2 linked regions of the Drosophila melanogaster genome follow. The protein of the gene in region 1 interacts with the protein of each later gene in a pairwise test. Each region holds a gene or a part of one and is shown on either strand. Other genes may lie near its edges.

The links.
Region 2: the proteins of Alr (region 1) and alpha-Catr interact in a two-hybrid assay, tested with the Drosophila melanogaster proteins (one large-scale study listed by BioGRID).

What each region holds. Positions count from the first base shown.
Region 1 is NC_004354.4:19,746,219-19,749,974, reverse strand, and holds the start of Alr (augmenter of liver regeneration), read right to left. Parts: upstream 1,662-3,756; 5' UTR 1,426-1,661; intron 1,072-1,425; 5' UTR 1,063-1,071; coding exon 667-1,062; intron 588-666; coding exon 346-587; intron 287-345; coding exon 124-286; 3' UTR 1-123. Other genes in the region: parvin, read right to left, coding at 2,105-2,725, 2,893-3,164, 3,244-3,333, 3,666-3,756.
Region 2 is NT_033778.4:23,955,867-23,959,622, reverse strand, and holds the start of alpha-Catr (alpha-catenin related), read right to left. Parts: upstream 1,782-3,756; 5' UTR 1,434-1,781; coding exon 1,404-1,433; intron 1,292-1,403; coding exon 1,111-1,291; intron 1,051-1,110; coding exon 1-1,050. Other genes in the region: CG16787 (uncharacterized protein), read left to right, coding at 2,441-3,202; thoc5, read right to left, coding at 3,328-3,570, 3,627-3,756.

The DNA of each region.
Region 1 (3,756 bases):
AGTCCCGTGTTCCGTGGTTGTAGTTGTGGGCCAGCCGAGCAAAATGTGGGACAAAGTCTGGTCAACATGGCAACCTGCAACGGGCGGGAGACGGGGCTTCTCGGCGCTGGTTAGCTGCGGCGCCTAGTCGCAGGAGCCGTCTAGCCAGCCGTCGCGCCACCTCTCGTTCACCTTGGTGCAATCGAAGAGCGGTTTGCCCAGTTTGTCGTTCACTCGGTTGTGGAACTTGCACAGCCACAGTGCTAGCTCCTTTTGGGAGTTCACATTGATGGGGTTGACGTCCAGGCTGCAACAGAGGTCCAGCTAAAGTGTCAGCGTTTTCAAATGGATTGAAGATGCACTTACTCGGTGCGAAAGTCCTTGGCGCAAAACTCGCAGGGGTAAAGGCGCGACAGAACCTCAAAAAAGGTCTTCATGTCGCGCTTCTCGGTGTCCGTGGGGTTGTCCGAGTAAAAGGCGGCCATGGTGTGGAGCAGTCCCCAGGTGGAAATTCCCAGCCTCACCTTGTCCAGCGGGCAGTCGTCGCGGGGCAGCGGATCTTCGGCGGCGTTGACGGTCAGCTTTTCGGCGGCGGCCATGTGCTTCACCTGGAGGAGTATGAAAGTGGGAGATTCTTGTGTTATCGTCCTGCTTGCGAAGGCGAAGTGGCCAACGCGATCACGTCACCTTGGCGCTCTGCACGTTGGAGATGAGGCGTTGCTGCTTGGACCACGACTTGAAATCGTTGCAGGTGCGGCAGTTCGAGTCCTGTTTGCCGGCGCCGCTGGCACCGGCCTTGCGGTTCGCTGCGAATGGGGACTCGTGGTGCTCCTTATCCATCTCGGGATTCGCCTCGGCAGACATGATGAAGTCCGGGTCACGGATCAGGCGGAGAACGGTGCGCTGCAGACGGCGAATTACCAGGCGAGTTGCTTCCCGGCTGAGTTCGATGTGCGTGGGGCTGATGTAGTCGTAGCCGTAGTTGTGGGACTGGCGGCGCAGCAGAAGCGTTGGTGTGGTGGGTAGTTCTAGAATCTTGAAACTTCGCTCGGCTATTGTGAAAATCATAAAAAGCATGCGCATGGTTGCCACCTTGTTTCGAAACGAAACACATAACATTAGGACATATCTGGCTAAGCGGCTTAGTTAAGCGGCTGCAATCAACGCAAGTTACTAAATACTGGCTTTTAGATTCATGGCCAACATCTGGCCAAGGACCAAAATCCGGTCAGCAAAGTAACATTTTCAAATTATACCGGCCAGCAATCGAAAATCGATGCGAAATCGTTCCCGAACGGGAAGCGATCTGGCAGCCTGCTCGCAGCTGTGATCGATACCAGACCGTTGCGAGTTGCGCGCGCAACCGCGACAATTCAAATAGCACAGCGTTCAGAAAATTACTAAGGTTTGTTTCTCAATCAATTCGAGACGCTCGAAAGAACTTACATGTGAATAGGATGGAAGCTGGCGTTTGTGAGTGCTGCAGCCCCAGATAAATTTTGCGCCTTGGAACTGTTTAAAATAGAATAACACATATGCTATTGGCAATATTTATTGATTTTTCTGATCCAAATTTTTAACGTACACAATAAAATTTTTTTTTAAGACTTTTCCGTAAACTTCTACATTTACAGCGTTAAAATCTGATCTGTGACATAATTTGCAAAAGCTCTGTGTGATCTAAAGGCACAATCTCGGTTATTGTGTTCAAATAATGTATTAATACAATAAATTCACTTAGTAACAACTACAACGTCTGGCACGTGAGTAAGACAAGTTAACAACTGGCCGCCGGATTTTGGGTTTGGGTTAGCTCTGCTCTGCTCTGCTCCTTCCTGTTCCGAGCAATCTGAATCTGGAGCAGATCGCAGTGGTTAGACGTACGACACATAAATATATATATATATATATAAACATTCCTTGGGCTGATTATACGCGACGCAGCATTTAGTTGTGGTTTTGAGAGTTAGGATCAGTAAGCTTTAACCGCTGCATCGCCTACAATCAGTTTCGAGAACGCACATAAATTAGGCGTGTAAACACTATCAAAAAGTTAATATAAAATGTAAAATTGGCGCCGCTTGTTGCTCCTGCAACCCGCTGGCTCGTTCCATCCGGGTTTCACTCAGGCGAAGTCCCTGAACATGGTGAACAGGCTGTATAGGACGCGCAGGGTGGACTTGAGGTCCATGTTCACGATGTCCTCCGGCCGCGCCTTTGGTTTGGGCAGGCCCACGTCCTGCATCAGGTCGAAGGCGAAGGCCACGTTGCTGACCATCTGATCCACGTCCTGCGGCGTCAAATGGAACTCGTGCAGCGGCACAAAGAATCCACCGAGCAGGCCCATCAGCAGGCACAGGTATACGCCGTCGCGAAAGTCCGTGTTCAGATCGCTGATCTCAAAGTTCAGCTTGGCCAGGTGCTTGTTCACGAACGTGATCAAGGACTTCTTCACCACGGCCAGCTTGTCCGGCGCACAGTCGATCAGCGTGTCGAAGGCGTCCTTTTCGCAGCGCATGCCCAGGTCGTCGTACTCGGACGTTATCTGCTCCTGGAACTTCTGCGCGTTCAGCACGCCCGCATTCTTCTCCGCAATCACGACGGTCACGAACACGTTCTCTGGCAGGCGAACGGGCGCCCGGAAGTGACGCACCAGTGCCACCAGCAGATGTAATATGGCCACAATGTTCTTCGAGTGCACGCTGGCCACCGACCACTTGGGAATCTTTTGGTGAAAGCCGAGTGTCTGTGGGTGTGGGCAAGGATAAAATTTATTCTTATATCGCGAGAAAAGGGAATGTTAATTGTAAATCGAATAAAAATTATTCTATTCGACTTTAAGAATGGATAAATAATTAAATGTTGGTAACTCCGATTTTTAAATCCTGCAAAACATAAACTACTACTACTTACATGGTTGACGGCCTTCAGGACGATGTTGAGCTTCTCGTGCTGGCCCTGCTCTGACTGGGTGACCTCAGGAACGTCCAGCTTCTTGCCGGTGAGCTTCTCCCACAGCTTGTGCAGCACCTGGCCGTCATACATGTCCTCTTCCAGGTGCTGAACAATTATGCGCTGCTCGGCCAGCTCGTCGTTGATCCAGTCGACGAGGATGCGCTGCAGCTTTATCACCTGGGGATCACTGATGGACTGTGGATCGATGACGGCGCGCTGTTCGTGCTCGCCTGTAGGATCAAATGTGATGAGTTGTGGGAAATGCGATGGGTATACGAGGAGATGCCCCTTCAAAACGAATGCACTTACGCAGGGCATAGTCCTCCGGCGGGATGTCATACTGGCTGGGCGATCCAGGCGAGTCGATGGCGTACTTGCCCTCCTCTTGGACCTTCTTCACTGCAAATGGAGCAAGCGGATGCGTATTTAGGGTATCAACAAGGTAAACAAAAACGGTGACGACACAAGGCCATCTCACACAAACGCACACACTCTCGATTATCAGCGCCGTTTGCTTGTGTGGGTCAACAGTGACGCAATGTTCTGATTAATCAGCGCATCCGCACATCTGTTCCCAGAAGAGCTTCCAGTGCGCAGGGGGAGGATCCATTGGGTCATTTTGGGCCACTTTTCGGAGGTTCAGGGGTCCAAGAATGGAATACTCTGGGATACCCATCAATTCCTGGCCGACAATAGCCATCTGGAGAGCTCCAATCATCAAGTGGACTTACCTTCGCGGGTGCCGCGTTTGCGGCCCAAAGTGCTGAACTTGTCCCAGAAGCTGTCCTCCTTCTCGCCCTTTTTAATGGCGGTGGGCGTGTG
Region 2 (3,756 bases), on another chromosome or scaffold:
GCATACCCAGTTCGGGATCTGACCGACCCTTCACCTGGCCTCCGCCCACTCCTCCAACTCCACCGGCTCCACCGCCACCCTCGTGCTGATCCTTCATGATGGTGTTCAGGTAGAGGTCGAACTCCAGCTTGCAGTTGTCGCAGTAGGAGAGGATGTTCTTCCGATGGTTGTGGCTGATGTAGGGGGAGTCGGTGAAGTCGTGTGCCTTCTCGAACAGCTTCTCGAAGGCGAGCGAGAGCTCCTCGCGCAGGTCCAGGCTCTCGGAGCTGAGGTGCTTCCTGAAGTTCGTGTTGTTCACCATGCGGCCGCCGCCCGCCGCGGAGGGCAGGTTCTTCTCCGACTTCCACAGGTCATCGTCCAGGAAACTGAAGTAGGCGTCGGAGTTGTTGTTGCCCTCGCCAGAGCCCTCGTAGTAGCTCATCTGGTACTTGTACCGCTTGATGAGGTTCACAATGCGCTTTATTGTCGTGTAGATGCTCTCGTTCTCGTAGTTCGGGTTGCTCGCCTGCTTCTCGAACGGCATGTGCTTGGCCGTGTCGAAGATGCTGTCCTTCACCACGAAATGGATGAGGTCCATGGCCCTGCGGATCTGGCAGAACACAGTGTCCCGGTTCTCCTTCACGATCACGCAGTCGCTGTGGATCAGGCTGTTCTTCGAGGACGTCAACAGGATGGCGATGGACTTCTCCAGTATCTGGCGGGCCGAGAACATCTGCGCCCGCCGTCGCTCCTCCTTGAAGGAGTTGCGGTGGTGGCCCGTGAGGTAGGCCAGCTCAATCATCTCGGTTCCGAACACGGAGAAGGCGCGCACGAATTCCGTGAAGTTCATGACCGACTCCAGCTTCTCCAGGCTCTCGGAGGCCCGCTTCTTGGCGGTCAGCAGCTTCTTCACAACTATGATGTCGACCAGCAGTAGGATGCGCGTGACGGACGACAGCAGGGAGCGGGCCGCCAAAATGATGGCTCCATAGTCCTTAAGGGGCTCGATGTGGTGGCGCAGCTCCATGCCGCTTAGAGGTGAAATATCACAAAGTCGTTCAATCGATTTTCCTATCGTACAACAAAATACAATGAAAAGGATGTACCAGGCTGGAAAGGATGTCTTCTTACCCGCATCTCTGGCCTCCTTCGCCGCCTCGTACATGTCTCCCTTGATGTCAATATTCTCCTCGGCGATGATCTCGCCAATGGTTATAAATCGCTCCACGGCAATGTTCAGCAGGTGACCTATGTTCCCAAAAGTGGACATGATCTGCTCGTTATCCATATCACGAACTCGAAAGCGTTGATTCTGGAGAGGGGAAGGAGAGCCCACATTGGCAGTTGGTTGGGTTTCAAGGCCAATCAATAATCGCTGAGGACTAGAACGGAAAGTTATCCCGGACAGCCGGTTGGGTACTTACGTTAACAGTTGATTGAGTGATTCCGTACATTTTGGATAGCTCGGTTACCGATAGAAAAATTGATTATACGTAGTTTAAGAGTATCCGCAAAGCGAGTTTCAGGCATGCAGCATTTTTATTTACTTCCTATTGATTTTTCTCAATACTAGGGCTAGCAGAGTCGAGTAGACATTGCAACTAAGTCGAGAATTTGGCACTCAATAATACGGTCACCGATTAGCGCGTCATAGTACGAGGCTCTATGGGTTTAAGCTCAAATAAAAGTCGATTTTTCAGCCAGCGAAAGCTCCTCAGCTCAAATTAGTGTTATATAGCTGGGTGGCTGTAAACAACGTGTTTACCTGCAGACAGATATATGTGTATGCCCCCAGATTTGTGTGTGATTCGAGCTTGTAACAAATTGGTCTGCGCAGCAAGTCTGCGCACAAAACCATTTAGTACTGTAAAGTGCAACAGTTTCTCGTCAAACGCCTCCTGTGGGATTCGATGCGGATGCGAGTGCCTGGATTCGATGCTTGTTGAGGTACCAAACATTTATCAGAAGAACAACCAAGAAAACCGCATAAGGCAACTCCAAAACCATGTACTTACATAAATGAAAAGTGTTTGAGATTATTGCACTTCAAAAAAGAGACAACATATTTCATGTAATAAGCTTGAAACACTAAATTCAAACCAAATAAGTTATATTTTCCATTTTCATGACTTCCGGTTGCGGAAGTTAATTTGTGAAACTAATCCGGCATGACAACCCTGGACAACGGGAGTTCCCCTAACATCCACACTGGCACTCGCAGCTATTGGGACATTACACACAGTCTGGCCACACTGCAGCCCAACGACCATATGATTTTTGCCGAGTATTTTATTTCCAAATGTTGTTACCTAAACACGAGCACGTCAAATTCCTGAGGGCCGCAAACGAAAAATAGCCAGGATCTAAGTTCAATTTGAATGGTGTGATCTGCAGACGAGGCAGATCTGAATCGAGGAAACCCAGTTCCGGTGAAGGAAGTAGCACACAAAGTCCTTGCAAGATGTTGCGAAATTTCGGGATTTCATCAATAAGAAGGAGCAGCTGGATGGCCAACTGGTGCTCCAAGGAGCGGGCGTGGGCGTCCGCCATGCGGCTAAGTGCGTCTGCGCCGGCGAAGTGTCCACAAAAGTTGTTAAACAGCCATGCCGCCAATAACCTCCAGCAAAGTCGAAGGGCCTACGAGAGCACCAAAGCGGAGAGGCTGCCCGGGAACCCTAAGGAGAACGAGCGTAAGCCCGAGGACCTGGATAGAGCCTACGAGGTTCTGAGGACCACGCTACCAAAGCTGTTCGTGGAGCCCCTAGACTACTCCATTTACAGCCCGGGCCTAATCTTCCACAACAACATAACGGGCAAGCACACGGTGGGCCTGTACCACTACGTCAAACAGATCGCCATCCTGCGAACGGTTGGCCACCTGAAGTACGCCTACGTGAAATTCGAGGTGCTCAAGATCACGAAGCACCAGGACGACTACACAGTGCGGATAAGGTGGCGAGTGCGCGGCATTTCCGGCCTGAAGGTCATGTTCCAGTTCTGGAAGTACAAGCTCTGGCAACTGAAGGAGGTGCTGAAGGATCAGGAGGCCTGGTACGACGGCTACTCTGTCTGCTATCTGGGCGACGATGGGCTGATCGTCAAGCACGTCGTGGACAAAGTGATGCCGGACGAGAGTCGGGAGGCGGTTGAGAACCCTTCTGCGACGGCACTACCTCCCGGATCCTTGGCAGCGACCTCTTCCCAGAAGATCAACTGCCAATGAAGTCGTAGCTAGCTAGCTTTAAATGTTACTTATTTATTGTATTACTAATCGTAATAAACGCAACTGTGAGAACGTTTAGTAACCGCATTGGCGCATTGTGTTGTACAACATTCGTTATTCAACTGTCACTGCTTGAACGCGTAGACCGATCCCTTCTTGATGTATTTGTAGGGGCGTGAGCGGCTCCGCTTGGCGAAGGCGCTTATGTAAGGCTTCTCCTTGTTGTACTCAATGGTGTTTTGCATGGATCCCTCGGTTTCGAGGAATATATCGAAGCTGTAGATGGTGCGGAAGAGCTGCGCGTACAGGATGCAGTCGTTGGGCTCCAAATGTTTGGGCTGCAGGGAGTTGGTCCAGAACTCCATCATCTGAGGAATACAAGTTTAAAAGCTAATTGGAGGATAATACCTGAATAAGTTCAAACCTTGATCGCCGAATTGTTTTGCGCGGTAAGGCATCCGTTCCAGTGCACATTCAGAATCCATAGAGGCATTTCCAGTGGATAGTTACTCGGTATTCTAATAAAGCACTCCATTTTGGCCGATCCCCGGACG